Linked DNA regions of Saccharomyces cerevisiae S288C. The protein of the gene in region 2 purifies or fractionates together with the protein of the main gene of each other region. This does not show direct contact. Each region holds a gene or a part of one and is shown on either strand. Other genes may lie near its edges.

What was found.
Region 1: the proteins of PFS2 (region 2) and GLC7 purify together in Saccharomyces cerevisiae (affinity purification with mass spectrometry; 5 studies listed by BioGRID). This does not show direct contact.

Annotation. Positions count from the first base shown.
Region 1 is NC_001137.3:430,793-434,793, forward strand, and holds GLC7 (type 1 serine/threonine-protein phosphatase catalytic subunit GLC7), read left to right. Parts: upstream 1-1,702; coding exon 1,703-1,879; intron 1,880-2,404; coding exon 2,405-3,166; downstream 3,167-4,001.
Region 2 is NC_001146.8:38,727-42,558, reverse strand, and holds PFS2 (cleavage polyadenylation factor subunit PFS2), read right to left. Parts: upstream 1,941-3,832; coding exon 543-1,940; downstream 1-542. Other genes in the region: prephenate dehydratase PHA2, read left to right, coding at 1-488; HXT14 (Hxt14p), read left to right, coding at 2,230-3,832. UniProt on the Saccharomyces cerevisiae protein: Integral and essential component of the cleavage and polyadenylation factor (CPF) complex, which plays a key role in polyadenylation-dependent pre-mRNA 3'-end formation and cooperates with cleavage factors including the CFIA complex and NAB4/CFIB.

The DNA.
Region 1 (4,001 bases), on a different chromosome or scaffold from region 2:
TGTGAGTGCACTGGAAAGCCTGTGTAATAAGTTTTTGATGTACTGTATTCCTTGCGAGTATTATCACAAAGCTCTACTGTGTTTGCACTGTGGGCGTATAGGGATATCGCGAGGGCAACGCAAAACTAGCAAGATACACATATTCCATACATTAAAGCGGTAATTTTTAGTAGTTAATTTCGAAATTTCAAACCCGGCAATGATACGCACATTAAGAAAAGGGAAAAAAAAAAGAATAAATTGGCCATAGAAAAATTCTGTTATCCACTAGACAGAAGTTTGCGTTCCATACTGTCAGAGGTGGCATTTTACATAACAATAGTGACAAAAAATAAATTTCAGAAGGAAGGCAACATAAGTTTTTCTAATCCTAAAATCTTTCGATTTTGTATCAGAGATTGTTCACGCTAATGTCATTCATCATAGTAGATCATTTATCTTTCACTGCGGAGAAGTTTCGAACGCCGAAACATGCGCACCAACTTTCACTTCTACAGCGTTTGACCAAAATCTTTTGAACAGAACATTGTAGGGTGTGAAAAAATGCGCACCTTTACCGCTAGCCCAAGAGGGCACTACAAAATCTAGAGTTGTACTTCAAACGTACATGTAATCACCTTGTATATACTCGAAAGAAAACATCAAGTTTCTGTATAAATATGAGTGAAAGCATAATCATACATTATCTTTTCAAAGATGAAGAGTGGGTGAATTTTGAGATAATTGTTGGGATTCCATTTTTAATAAGGCAATAATATTAGGTATGTAGAAAGTACTAGAAGTTCTCCTCGAGGATTTAGGAATCCATAAAAGGGAATCTGCAATTCTACACAATTCTATAAATATTATTATCATCATTTTATATGTTAATATTCATTGATCCTATTACATTATCAATCCTTGCGTTTCAGCTTCCACTAATTTAGATGACTATTTCTCATCATTTGCGTCATCTTCTAACACCGTATATGATAATATACTAGTAACGTAAATACTAGTTAGTAGATGATAGTTGATTTTTACTCCAACAAAAGAATTACAGTCAGTGGCTGTTTGCTGACATTTCATTGCTTCCCTTACAACCTGATTTCCATTCGAGTTGAAAGGTTGAGAAAAATTGCAAGACTTCTCTCTCATCTACCTTCCCCTTTTCTTGAAGACAAGGTGAGAGACAATTTAGTACTAAAGCTTTTGCGGTTGTTATTCAATTGAGGTAGATACCTGGCAAAACATTTCTTGTGAGCACAACCTCAATTAAAGTTAGACAAGTAGGTGCACTATTGGTTGCTTGTTGGCTCATCTCGTTGAGGAATGTAATAACTACTTGTTATTAACCTGTTTTTGTGCCATCTATAGTGGAGAGCTTATTGCAATTTGTTTTTTATTTCTTGACTGCATATATCAGTCTTTGACAGGCTGCATGGGGATGACAGTTAGAAACTAGCCAAATTACCCCTTATGTAGATAACAATCATTGCTTATTCGCTCTTCCCCCATTTTTTTTCTTGCTCTTGCTGTTTTTTCTTTTAGCGTTCGTTTCAAGGAACAAGAGAGGGAAAAAAAAATCAAAAGTAGAAAAGAAGAAGAAAAAAACAACGTAACACAAGTTAACACCACAACTGAAAAAAAAAATAAGAGGTGAACGAACGAGTAACTGGGGAGAGGAAAGCAGATTACCACAATATACATTCAAATTAAAGAAATGGACTCACAACCAGTTGACGTTGATAATATCATCGATAGATTATTGGAAGTAAGAGGATCTAAACCTGGTCAACAAGTTGATCTAGAAGAAAATGAAATCAGATACTTATGTTCGAAAGCCAGATCTATATTCATAAAGCAACCCATTTTACTAGAGTTAGAAGCCCCAATTAAAGTATGTTAATGTTGAACTTCGCAGTCAAGAGATAGAATGCCTAGAGCTTCAGGTGTTTTATGTGTTCTACTCCTGTTGCGGCAGTAAGATAGTTACAGCAGTTATTTCCGTTTGACTGAAAGAATTTACCAAGCATCTGATGTTAGCCTACTCATATGTCGAGATAGCCGAGATAATGTGTGTGTTTAGCTCTTCATTTTTCTATCTTATTAGGCATTTTTTTACCAAGATTTCCTTATGTTTTGTATCATCATCCGGCCGGCGCCTCCCATATTCAGAAAAATCCCCCTTGCTCACACTAAAAAAAGAAGGCATTTTTTCGTTATGAAGAAAACGAATCTTTTTTTTTTTTGAGCCCGAGAGAAAGGTCGGACGAAAACCAAGAAATGTGGATTTGCAGAAGGCATTGGGAGAAATGAAGCGTTTTTGACAGCAGTAATTGTTCTCTTAAAGTCAACGGAATGAGCTAGATTTAGTGACAAATTCATTTACTAACTTATTTTTTTCTATTTTTTTTTTTTTTAGATATGTGGTGACATTCATGGGCAATACTATGATTTACTACGTCTATTTGAGTACGGTGGATTCCCGCCAGAATCTAATTATCTATTTTTGGGTGATTATGTCGACCGTGGTAAACAATCCTTAGAGACTATTTGTCTATTACTGGCTTACAAAATTAAGTATCCAGAAAACTTTTTCATTTTAAGAGGGAACCATGAATGTGCTTCCATTAATAGAATTTACGGGTTTTATGATGAATGTAAGAGACGTTATAATATCAAACTTTGGAAAACTTTCACGGATTGTTTCAATTGTTTACCAATTGCTGCAATTATTGATGAGAAAATCTTCTGTATGCATGGTGGTCTCTCACCAGATTTGAATAGTATGGAACAGATCAGAAGGGTGATGAGGCCAACAGATATTCCCGACGTTGGCTTATTATGTGACTTATTGTGGTCAGATCCAGATAAAGATATCGTAGGTTGGAGTGAAAATGATAGAGGTGTTTCTTTCACTTTTGGTCCTGATGTAGTGAACAGATTTTTACAGAAACAAGATATGGAGTTGATTTGCAGGGCCCATCAAGTTGTGGAAGATGGTTATGAATTCTTTAGTAAAAGACAATTGGTGACACTTTTCAGTGCTCCGAATTATTGTGGTGAATTTGATAACGCTGGTGCAATGATGAGTGTTGATGAAAGTTTATTATGTTCTTTTCAAATTTTAAAGCCAGCCCAAAAAAGTCTACCAAGGCAAGCTGGGGGTAGAAAGAAAAAATAAATAGATTCACGTCCTAAATCAAAGTTTAAAAAGGAAAATACTTATTAACAAGAAGAGTAGTAGAAGAAAAATACAAGAAACATAAACGTAGAAAACTTTTAGTCAATTCTTTAAGCGAAGAATACGAAAGAAACATCAAGAAAACAAAGGAAGATGCAATCATCACTCGTCATATACACAAATAATTCCCTTTAGTGCAACAAACCGCGAAAAAGCATAAGAAACATAAAAAAAATATAAAAAAAAGGAGATAATAATAAGATGTGAAGGATTTGAATTAGTGGAAAAATGATAAGTCTACACTATTATTATTAACGAAATGCAATTTTTCTTTATTTTCTTTTATTACTATTATCATTACTATTATTATTAGTATTATTATTTTTTTACTTATTTTTATATTAAACTATGTTAAATTACTATATTATTATTTTGTCTAACTCTATATTGAGGCTGTCTTTCGTTGCACTGTTAAGAATGGTCACGTCTTCCTTTGGCTTTGAACCCTTTTATAAACAAGTTGGCCAAATCATTTAGTCAATCACGTCAACCTGTCTAAAATAAGACAGGTAAAAAAGAAAATGCCATCTCCTAGAATCGAACCAGGGTTTCATCGGCCACAACGATGTGTACTAACCACTATACTAAGATGGCGACTTTTCAATGGAGAACTGTTGTATTACGGGCTCGAGTAATACCGGAGTGTCTTGACAATCCTAATATAAACAGTCTTAGGGAAGTAACCAGTTGTCAAAACAGTTTATCAGATTAATTCACGGAATGTTACTTATCTTATATATTATATAAAATATGAATCATACTAAGTGGTGGAAGC
Region 2 (3,832 bases):
ACCAATGCATTCGGTCATCAACGGCCGATTGCGACAACATTCTGCATTTAGCCATTGCTAGTGAAACAGCTGCCCAATTGCATAAGGCGTACATCATTGAACATTCGATAAATGATAAGCTAGGAAATACAACAAGATTTTTAGTATTGAAGAGAAGGGAGAACGCAGGCGACAATGAAGTAGAAGACACTGGATTACTACGGGTTAACCTACTCACCTTTACTACTCGTCAAGATGACCCTGGTTCTTTGGTAGATGTTTTGAACATACTAAAAATCCATTCACTCAACATGTGTTCTATAAACTCTAGACCATTCCATTTGGACGAACATGATAGAAACTGGCGATATTTATTTTTCATTGAATATTACACCGAGAAGAATACCCCAAAGAATAAAGAAAAATTCTATGAAGATATCAGCGACAAAAGTAAACAGTGGTGCCTGTGGGGTACATTCCCCAGAAATGAGAGATATTATCACAAATAATATGTTATATAGTCTTTTTATTTATGTATCCTAAAATCTCGTCAAAGCGCACTTTTATATGCTTAAACCTGGCAATGTGGAACTCTTGATGTTTGAATCGATGCCTGGGATTTCTTGACGCGGTTTCTTGTTGATGAATCCATTCATGTTTGGTAACGCATGTGGTTCAAGTGTAGCTGGTGGTGGCGGGGCCGCACCGAATTCACTCTTCTCTCTCACAGCATTGATGTCGTTATTGATGCCAAAAAACCATCCATTTATCTTCTTATTGTTATAAGTTGGATCATCATATGCATTAGGATCAATTGGCCTCGCTCTAGTCCAAAATCTTATGGTTCTATCCTTAGCTGCTGTGGCAAATATATGTCCTACTGGATTATATGATAACGAGGTGATACACTTATCATGGGCGTATGGAATAGTCAAAATAGGTTCGTTTAGATTTTGTAAAAGATCAAAATGCTTTAGCGAGCCGTCATAGCACGCCAGAGTGAACATAGATTCATTTATTGGGTGCCATTCTAGTGTCATATAATCCGTTTCATCTCTTACACACATTAGTTCCTTCATACTGTATCTAATGTCGAACACACGACACGATTTATCTTTTGAAATCGCCATTAATAGATTTCCCTTGGTGGGTTGAAATCGCGTCTTCAAGACAGTATGTTTGAACTTCAGAATTGATGATATGCAGTTTCCGGAACGCGGATCCCACAGTTTTACTAAATTGTCCTTAGATGCGGAGGCAATTAACCCCATCTCGGGATGCCAATCACAACTTTTCACGTCCCAGTGGTGCCCCGATAATACTCTTTCTTGTTTGCCATTGCTGAAGTTCCAAATCTTCAAGATATTATCATCTGAACAGGTAACAAATTTCGAGTCGTTACTACTGAATGCCATATCCCTAATACTTTCCGTGTGTGCAGCATCAATTTCTTTAACCATACTAAAGTTTGGTTGCCATATCTTAATCATTCCATCTGCGTCCCCACTAATCATCCAATCACTGTCGTGAGAATATTTCATTGTAGTCACAGCCGAATCATGTGCTTGCATGAGGGTTTCAAACGTAAACGAAGATGCGTTCCATAGAGAAAATTCTCCGCTATAAGTTGCTACTACAAGTCTTCTGCCTTCTGGGGTCCATTGGATGGCGGGTATCACATGTTTCACTTTATTCGAGCTTAAATGCGTAAATTTGCTGGGCAAATTTATGACTCGATCTCGACCTCTGTAGGCATTAGGCGGCATTATATCTATTGTGTATGAAGTTTCTGGCTCTACCACTAGGTTCGGTAATCCATGTCGTCTGTTGTAATATAGGTTAATATACGGAGAACTCACGTCTACCGATCGTCTCTGTGTCACATATTTCTTCAGAGGTGGTTGTTGTGACTGCTGAATTTGATTCTGATTCTGGTACTGGTTCTGATTATGCCCGTCCATAACGTGTCTATGTTGAGCTTCTTAATATCTACCCAGCAACCTGTATATCAGTGCTTTCTTTAATTATACTTCCCTTGACAAATCGATACGTCGGCCCTCAAAAGAAGAGGAAAAAAAATAGAAAAAAAAATAGAAAATAAAAATGTCAGTAATTCTAATGATGACACAAATTCAAATAGCAACATTGAATACTGTTTAACAGAACAATTAACCACTTTTAATTAGAAATACTAACAAAGAATTTGTTAACGTATTCTTAGGAAGTAAAGTACTTCAATTATTGCTAGAAATGACTGCTCAGATTCCGTATCAACATAGCTCGGGATACATCTCTCATTTTCACAATAATGAGCTTGATGCAGGCAGGGGAAGGGATTATAATGTAACCATTAAGTATCTAGATGATAAAGAAGAAAATATAGAAGGCCAAGCAGCAAAGATTAGTCACAATGCGAGTCTGCATATTCCCGTTTTATTGTGCTTGGTAATCTCGCTTGGTGGCTTTATTTTTGGATGGGACATTGGAACCATCGGTGGAATGACAAATATGGTTAGCTTTCAAGAAAAATTTGGCACAACTAATATTATCCATGACGATGAAACAATTTTTGTATCTACTAAGAAACTTACTGATCTGCAAATAGGCCTAATTATCAGTATTTTTAACATCAGTTGTGGCGTAGGGGCTTTAACTCTGTCAAAAATCGGTGATTGGATTGGTAGGAAAGGTGGTATATGGTTTGCCTTAGTAGTGTACTGCATCGGTATAACCATTCAAATTCTCTCCTATGGAAGGTGGTATTTTTTGACATTGGGAAGAGCCGTAACGGGAATCGGTGTGGGAGTAACCACTGTCTTGGTGCCAATGTTTCTCTCCGAGAATTCTCCACTAAAAATCAGAGGCTCCATGGTATCTACGTATCAATTGATTGTAACATTTGGCATACTAATGGGAAACATTTTAAATTTCATATGCGAAAGATGTTATAAAGATCCTACACAAAATATAGCCTGGCAATTGCCATTGTTCTTGGGATACATTTGGGCAATTATAATTGGAATGTCACTTGTTTACGTTCCTGAATCTCCACAGTACTTGGCAAAAATCAAAAATGATGTGCCCTCTGCTAAATACTCTTTTGCGAGGATGAATGGCATCCCTGCGACGGATAGCATGGTAATTGAATTCATCGATGATTTGCTGGAAAATAACTATAATAATGAGGAAACTAACAACGAATCAAAAAAGCAAAGCTTAGTTAAAAGAAACACATTTGAATTTATTATGGGAAAGCCAAAGTTATGGTTGAGACTGATTATTGGTATGATGATAATGGCATTTCAACAGCTGTCCGGAATAAATTATTTCTTTTATTACGGAACGTCTGTTTTCAAAGGTGTCGGGATTAAGGATCCTTATATTACTTCAATCATACTGTCAAGTGTTAACTTCCTTTCTACGATATTAGGCATATATTACGTGGAGAAATGGGGCCACAAGACATGTTTATTATATGGTTCAACAAATTTATTATTTTATATGATGACATATGCTACTGTGGGGACATTTGGAAGAGAAACGGACTTCTCAAATATTGTTTTAATTATCGTGACTTGTTGTTTTATTTTTTGGTTTGCAATAACATTGGGCCCAGTTACATTTGTACTAGTGTCCGAATTGTTCCCTCTAAGAACGAGGGCCATATCAATGGCTATTTGCACATTTATCAATTGGATGTTCAATTTCTTAATATCACTTTTAACACCAATGATTGTATCCAAAATTGATTTCAAACTAGGATACATATTTGCTGCTTGCCTATTAGCGTTGATAATATTCAGTTGGATACTAGTTCCTGAAACGAGGAAAAAGAATGAGCAAGAGATCAATA